Caenorhabditis elegans: one gene and its partner. The protein of the gene in region 1 interacts with the protein of each later gene in a pairwise test. Each region holds a gene or a part of one and is shown in the gene's direction. Other genes may lie near its edges. The genes, in order: gad-1 and memi-3.

Region 1 (4,730 bases):
ATAAAAAATTAAATTTCGATAAAGCGAGCGCCCACCTTGTAGTTATTAGCAAACCATTCCAAAAGTGGCATAGTCTCAATAATTTCCATATCTTGTCCAGTTTCACTGTCGGTGAAATGAGATTTGTCCTTCTCCTCGTCAGGTCTCAGATTCAGAAGAATGTCCTCTCCGAGTGAATTTTTCATCTTGTACCGAACAATATCCAAATTCTCCCAGCAGATGAGAGTTTCAATAGCTCCCATTTCAAGTGCGGCAAGAGTGTCTTTAACTCCGAAAACGTATTTTCCAGTGTCTTGGCTGATTTCATCGAAATATCCACCAATCAGTTTCTTTTCCTGAATGAACTTAACACTTGCCAGCGTATCGGCAGCAAGTTCAATAGCTTGGTTGAAACCATTTTCACCACCATAAGCAATATCGACAGTCTTGATCATCTTGGCTTGAAGTCTTTGATCAAACATATCAGATTGTCCCAACTCTGTCTTGAAATCTGCACTACCAGCAAGAATAAGTCCAGCAACTGTAACCTTGTCGTTCTTGATAAATTGTTCCACCGAATTTTCAGCTACTTTACGGACGTAATTGTGCCGCTTCTCATTACGGAGACGAGCAAAACGGACAGCAGATTGACCTCCTCTACCGTGCTTCTTTGGAAGATCGACAGTGAACTTGTGCAGAACTTCACGAGTGTTTCCTTGGAGTGTTCCGAACAGACAACCGTTTCCATCCATAATGATAAATCCGAACTTGTTATCGTCAGCAAGAAGACCTGAAAAATGGTATATTTTATGATGCATGATGAAAATTAGAAATACCTTGAAGAGCTTCGGTGTGAAATTTGTTGTCGCAGAGATACAATGAAGTATTGATTGCTTTGAATGGCTCAAAATCAATGTTAACTTTCTTTTCCTTTCCTTCGTCGGTCATGATTGTTCCACAGTAAACGACCAATCCATTTGGTGGGACTTTGTTGTAGAGTTTCAATCTTCCCTGTACTGATGTGATAGCTCCCAAAACGGAAAGTCTGTTGACACGAGACTTGATGTTAGATGCCGTTCCGTACTCTTCGGCCAACATTCTCTGGATTCTAGCCACTTGATCTTTTGGTGGAATGATCAGCGAAATCATAGAAGTTCCATTTCTGTAAAAAAACAAATGTAAAATAAACGCTTCACGAAAATAGTTACCCTCTGGCTAATTCCAAACTTTTGATGAGCCGTTTAATTTTCCACATTTCGACATTTCTATCGGCGGCGTCATCGCCTCCGGCGGTAGCACCTGCTGCGGGAGCGCTCATATTCTATTTGTGCTGCACGTCACCGATTACCTGTAATTGTATTATATAAAACACGAAAAGAGAGTTAAAGTAATTAATTCGGGGAAGAAACTCAAAAATGCGAAAAAAAAGATATTTATAGAGAACTGGTTATTCTACATTGCACAGAGTTGTGATGGAAAATTAGAATATTGTGCAACATGTTGCAATGGTTTCAATTTGATTTTTTTAGAAGAAAATGTATTTCGTTTTCTCTGAGCAATGACAAAATGATGAATAAAACATTTCTGAACAATTTAAACTGCAAAAATCGATAATTGATGACGCGTAAAAACTTTAAAAACTGAAAATGGGAAAAGAATTTAAATGGTGCCAAGGAACACGAATACGGTTTGTGGAAGGGTCTCGGCGCGAAGTAATGTCCGATTGTCCACACTTTCTCCGCGGCCTAGTCTCCGAAACAAGTCAGCCACGTCCTCAATGTTCGAAATTCGAAAACATTTTTCAGCTTTCATCAGAACTCCAGGACTGTTTCCAGAATTTATTAGTTTTTTTCGCCAAAATATTATATATGTACCACGGCAGTTCATTATATTGGTTGTATTACACGTTTCTTTTCGTTATTAACTCTTTTTTTCCCGTTACCGCCTAATAGATGAAAACGAATTTCAATAATTCTTTCAGATCACCACAATGGATGATAATACGGCTCCAAAAAAGAATTCTGAAAAGAAGGCACGCGTCTTTGACCTCCAAGCAATGTTCGCGCAAACGATAAGCAATGCTCCCAGAACTGAGGAACCAACTCACGTTCCGCAGTCGGTATCGGTGTCTTCTAAATCAGAATCTGGTGTTTCTTCTTCAGCTGTATCTGATGATGAAGATGGTAAGCCGAATATAATGTTTTAATTATTTCAAATTTGTTTTTTCCAGATTTCATGCCAGATCTACCTCCAGGATTCCAAATGCAACAGTCTGAAGCGGGCCCCTCCTCGTCTCGAGCTGAAGGTCCCGAAGATAGTGATGATAGCGATTTTGACGAGACAGAAGCAATCTCCATCATCAAACTGATTCCAGCTGCATGTGAAGCGAAGATCAGCCATGGCACTCAAGCCATCAGTGCACTTCGGGTTGAGCCTCCTGGTGTTCGGTTTGCCAGTGGAGGGCTTGACTATTACGTGAAGCTGTTCGATTTTCAAAAAATGGACATGTCAATGAGATACGACAAAGAGCTTCTGCCTGCAGAAAGTCACGTTATCAATTCCCTGGCATTCTCTCCGAACGGCGAAACTCTTGTAGTAGCTAGTGGAGAAGCTATCATTCGCCTACTGGATCGAGCAGGAAAACAATGGTCTGAAACAGTTCGTGGAGATCAGTATATTATTGATTTAAACATCACTAAAGGACACACAGCAACAGTTAACTGTGTCGAATTCAATCCACTAAACAAGAACGAGTTTATCTCTTGTTCTGATGATGGAAGTCTACGACTATGGAACCTCGATGATCATAAAGTAATCACCAAATGCATCAACAAGCACAGGAAAGTCATCAAAACAAAAGGAGCTAATGGAAAACGTGTCAGCCCGCAAGTTTGCACGTTTTCTCCTGACGGAAAATGGATTGCCGCCGGTTGTGATGACGGATCTGTTCAAGCATGGAAGTATGGATCGCAATATGTAAGTTGAAGTTCAAAAACACTGTTTATTCTCATATTTTAATTTTAGGTCAATGTAAATTACCTTGTACGCAAAGCTCACAACGGCTCGATTACTTCTATTGCTTTTTCGCCCGATTCAAAGAGATTACTGTCTAGAGGTTTTGATGACACTCTGAAGATGTGGAGCTTAGATAACCCAAAAGAGCCGCTTCTTGTGAAAACCGGTCTCGAAAACGCTTTCAAAAGGTATCCTTCTATTAAAAACTTCACCATAAGTATATTTTTTGTAGTACTGATTGCGGATTCTCCCCTCGTGCCGAGGTTGTCTTCACTGGTACATCGTCACCCAACAAGGATACACCTGGAACATTACAATTCTTTGATCCAATGACATTTGATCTTGTCTATAAAATTGATTACCCTGGAATTTCGTGCCACCGAATTCAGTGGCACCCGCGATTGAATCAAATTATCGCTGGACTCTCGGATGGCACCATTCACGTGTACTACGATCAAACGATGTCACAGCGAGGAGTTATGTCATGTGTGACGAAGCCACTCAAAAGAAATCGCGCATCTGAAGTTGTTCGAGAAGATATGGTTCTTTCTCGTAAGTTAAACAATTTTTTTCGAAAAATATTTATCTTCATATTTCAGCTCTTTCCCTCGAAATGTTCCAACCGCGCGGAGAGGAAGGAGAAGAAAAGGAAGTCACTGGATGGAGAATCAAGAAGTATCTCCGAATGCAGGATAACAAGCTTCGTCCCGAGTTCCGGAAGCCTGCAGATATGCCTATCAACGGAAAGAGCGCAAATGGACGTGTGGCTGCAAGTGGTGGAAGTCTTCATTCGTATTTGGCAAAGCAAATCGGAACTGCTCGTAATGCCGAGTTCCTAAAAGATACCGATGTTCGTGCAAGCATCCTGAAACATGCTAAAGACGCCGAAGAGAATCCATTGTACATTGATAAAGCGTATCGAAAGACACAGCCAAAGAAGATTTTCCAAGAAACTGCAGTCGAGCCAGAAGATCAAGATGACGAAGAGCTACAGCCTGTCTTCAAAATGCCGAGAACGAAGTAGTCGTTGCATTAATTTTTTGTTTTTCATCTGTCTGTCTCCCTCTTGTAATATTGTTTTCCTATTTTTTTCTCTATTTTTTGTGTCCCAATAAATATAGAGTCAATGATCACATGATGTTGGAGAAATTGTGTGTTCGCCATAGTCATTGTCTTGTCCAAATATCTAACGCTAGCTACACTCTAGCATGCTGCTCACTTCTATCTTTCCCATTCTTCCAACTCCCCCCCATTTCAACAATATGTGGTCGTTTGTGTCAGTGTCCGGTGGACGATGGCTACACTTTTGCCGCAAGAATTGTATCCAATCGGGATCAGGTTCACTTTTAAAATTGAACCCGGTTCGGATGTTTCGCTTTTGATCTCCTAATCCAAAAACCTGAAACTGTATTTTTAAAAACGTTTCTATTATGGATTTAATTCCAAAAATTGAGAAAACTATATTTAAAGAAGAAATTATTGACATGGCCTCCATTCCATTTCTTTCTTATCATACATTTTCCCACAACTGATACCATGTGCAGCCTATTCAAAGGGTCACTTTTTGCTGAAGTGTGTAGAACAAACATGCAATCCGAAATTACAGTTCCACAACTGTTTACTCTACAATTTCCTTTTCACATTTTCTTCCTGTTTCAGTGCCGAGAAATTGTAGCTAGTAGCAAACAAAACAACGCCGTGAAATTTCGTCCTTGAAGTTTCCCTTTCCCTCCCGA
Region 2 (3,754 bases), on another chromosome or scaffold:
GAGCTTCCTTTCTCTCGACAATCACTTTCTTTGTGAAATCATGGAGAATACGAAGACATTTTTCATGAGTCCGTCCGTCCTCTGTTCTGAAAATTACAAATTAATTCACCTTATTAATGATAAAACTACCGTACAAATTATAAATAAATGAATTCCACATCAACGGATTATTTGTTCTTTTTGAAATCAGTTTATTGATTGTGTGCACCGCCCATACATACTCGTTATTCTGAAAAAGTATTTAGAAATTTTGAGATTCGAGTTGTTTACCCAACCTCCGCGAGTTGAGCACCAATAGCTTTCCCCATAGAGGTTTCGCAAATGATGTCAAGAGTGCAAAGGGTTATAACGGAGAGAACATCAACTTCTTCACTGAAAAGAAACATTTGAACGAGTTATCAATTAAAATTCTTACTCTGCTCCGAGGCAACACAATTTCTGAACCAAAATCTTTGATTGCTCGTTAAAAATCGGCAAAAAATCCTTGAGAATATCATAATGGAATGTTGGTGTCAATAGTTTTCGTTTTGGACGCCATTGTTCCTTTTGGCTCGTCAAAATACTGATTCCAAGCCATGGCTCGAGCAAAACGTATGCGAACCCTTTGTTCAGATGTTTCGTCGATGAGAAAATTGGTTCAACAAGATCGGCAGAGTAGAGCATCAGACATGGAAATGGGCCAATCCAGAGAAGACACATCCGTGGATCTGGATACAAATATCCCATTCCAATCACTTGGTTCATGAATCCCTCTGGATCGGGCTTGGTGATGAGTCCGTGACCAACGATTGGATATGATCGTGGCTGATTGAGGTGCTGGAAATTTATTTGAGTTATCTTTGAATGCATTTTGCAATCTGACCTTCAAAACTTGACGCATTCTCAAATGTTTGTAGAGAAGCCAAGCGATCACAGTCGCCATAGCGAGAAGTACAGCGGGGATGATGACCCCCATTGCAAAACCTTCTGAAATAATTTATTTGTGCGAAGAAACGAGCAAAACGCGTTTAAAACATGAGAAAAAGCGTTTGTTAAGCTTTGGTTCTAAAAAAAGAAAAAAAACGAACAGTTTTTGAATCAACATTCAAATTTCACGCATGTCGTAGTGAGACCCATCTGAAAATCGCCATGCGCCTTTAAAGAGTACGGTAGGCTCAAAAAAATTCTAAAACTGATTTTTGTTGTTTTCTGATATATCATGATATTTAAATCTTGATTTAATGATTAAAAACTTTCAATCGCGTTAATTTTTCAACAAAAAAAAAAGAAAACAAATCCAAAATTATTTTTCAATAAGTATTGTACTTTTTATGAATGCATCGCCTATTTGACCTATTCGATCTCCCCCGCGAAAAGTCAGCGCAACAATTGTGTTATTTTAGGCCCAACGAAAATTTTTGATTGTGAACATTCTTCTACTTTGCTGATGTTCAGAGAGCCGTAATGAAATTTCATAAATATTGTTTTATCGGTGAAGCATTATTAATCTGTTAATCACTTGAGTACATTGTTTTTTTTAAAGTTTTATCTTTAATTTTTGCTTCGAATTCTTATTTTTCCATTAATTTTTCAAACCAACGTTTTTTAGAATGTCAGCTCCGTCCCGTACCGTTCTTCGCGAATTGACGGCGACCAAATACGTGGCCAACTACACCGATGAATATCAATTGGAAACCGCTCGAGCCGGTTGCTCAGCCCTCCCACCACAACCCAACATCAATCATGATGCAATTATCGAAGGGCATGGAGAAGACGTGGAGCTCGTCGAGGATAAGAACTACCGTTCCCTGCATCGTATCGATGAAACTCCAAAGCTCGTCGACAAGAAGCCGAGCAAGGCAATCATCCGCGATGAAGCTGTCAAAGTGCTAAGAGACATTCAAACAATGCCGATTGAAAATCTCCGTCTCAAGCGCTACGACTTCTTCTCGCAAAGATGGTTCAACACGACCAGAGAATCGGAGAAAGCGCTTGTCGAGCACGTGCTCCTTCATCCGAACCAGCGACCACACTATTTCGCCGCTCAGTGCCGCATGCTTTCGGCCGAAGATATCTCCAGTCTGATTCTAGTTAGTTTCTTGAGTATATTTTTCCCAAAAAAATTTTTTTATTTCAGACTTCCCTCCTGGCCGAGCCGAAAGAGACGGGTCAAAATGTGGTTCGATTTGCGATCCAGGCAAAGACTGCAATGCCGTTCCAGCAATTGTTTGCAATTCTCGAAAAACTGGAGATGGAAATCGAAGGCTTCCAGATGACAGACAGCTTTGTGGTGGCAACATTGATCCGATCACAGAGCAAGAGTGTACGTAAAATAGTTTTCTATTTCACACCGATAACTTTTCATATTTCAGACTACCACTCGTCGCCTGCGAACAACAAACTGCCGGGAATACGGAAATCTCGAGCCAGGACTCGATTCACAAGGCCGACTGATGGCCTCGACTGCATCAATCACGTGTTCGATTCGAGGAAAGCGCCACGTGGAAACGAGGATCGTGTACAATAACAACTCGAGCGCCAGGGATCCTTTCCGGAGATATAGAGTGAGTTGAATAGCAATAATTTATCGGTTTCCAATTTATAACGTTTTCAGTACATCGAATTGGAGCAAACGGTGAAGTGCATGAACCGACGAGTGCAGATTGTCGAAGAGCCAGTCGAATTTCATGAATTCGAGGTCGAAAACGATATGGTCTCGTTGAGAAATGGAATGGTGCTTGTCGACGACCTAATCTCGTTCCTCGAAACATTCGAACTGGATGAAGAGTGAATTCATTTGTCCAATAATTAGTTATAATGTGCATAAGTTTTTGTATATATCTATCTGAATAACTAAGTGGTTCCTGTTAAATATATCAACTAACTTTCCCCTATTTTATTTTCCATTCCTCCAACTCACCATGACCCTCGAATATTTTGTTTATGTTCAACATGTATATTGCTTGAATTAACTTTACCAAATCATGAACTGGTTGATTTAAAAAATCTTTTTAACATGACTCTGAAAAATTTTTCAAATTAAATTCTTCTGATAAGCTGATAATTTTCTGGTTTCAGATATCAAAATTTTTATACAGCCGGGTACAATGATTTACGATATGGAAGATGCCTCCAGCCTAAAAAGATGAATTCGAAATTAGAATTAATGAACGCAAATTTCTGAAAACGCTGGCAATTCCAGCTTGCGACATGCAACTTTTCGATACTTGAGGCTTGATAGGCAATTGGCCACATTACATAGTGATCATAATTCTGCAATTTCTAAATGTCGTTTCCTGACCGATATCTTGGCTCGAAAACATGTGAAAACTTATTGACAGTAATACTGATTGAATTCAAGCAAACATATTATTCAAAATAAATGTAATATGAAATATCTTTAGGATTTTTTATATTTGTGGCCCTAAAGAGGGCCGTTGGGTTCGGTGGGTTTGTTTAAAGAAGAAAGTTCTTACTCCTTATCTCCTCCAGTCTTCTTTGGGAGAAGAACGGCTTGGATGTTTGGAAGAACTCCTCCTTGGGCGATGGTCACTCCGGCCAAAAGCTTGTTGAGCTCCTCGTCGTTGCGGACAGCGAGTTGAAGATGTCTTGGGGCGATACGGGTCTTCTTGTTGTCACGGGCAGCGTTACCGGCCAACTCGAGAACCTCAGCAGCGAGATATTCAAGAACAGCGGCCAAGTAGACTGGGGCTCCGGCTCCAACACGTTGAGCATAGTTTCCTTTGCGAAGAATACGGTGAAGACGACCGACTGG

What was found.
Region 2: the proteins of gad-1 (region 1) and memi-3 interact in a two-hybrid assay, tested with the Caenorhabditis elegans proteins (2 studies listed by BioGRID).

What each region holds. Positions count from the first base shown.
Region 1 is NC_003283.11:6,430,727-6,435,456, reverse strand, and holds gad-1 (Gastrulation defective protein 1), read left to right. Parts: upstream 1-1,960; 5' UTR 1,961-1,969; coding exon 1,970-2,162; intron 2,163-2,209; coding exon 2,210-2,955; intron 2,956-3,003; coding exon 3,004-3,182; intron 3,183-3,226; coding exon 3,227-3,546; intron 3,547-3,593; coding exon 3,594-4,018; 3' UTR 4,019-4,137; downstream 4,138-4,730. Other genes in the region: erfa-1 (Eukaryotic peptide chain release factor subunit 1), read right to left, coding at 36-769, 816-1,141, 1,188-1,297.
Region 2 is NC_003282.8:11,401,173-11,404,926, reverse strand, and holds memi-3 (MEiosis-to-MItosis transition associated), read left to right. Parts: upstream 1-1,588; 5' UTR 1,589-1,589; coding exon 1,590-2,069; intron 2,070-2,116; coding exon 2,117-2,302; intron 2,303-2,351; coding exon 2,352-2,543; intron 2,544-2,593; coding exon 2,594-2,770; 3' UTR 2,771-2,982; downstream 2,983-3,754. Other genes in the region: cyp-31A2 (CYtochrome P450 family), read right to left, coding at 1-86, 135-229, 276-372, 416-816, 863-955; his-65 (Histone H2A), read right to left, coding at 3,452-3,754.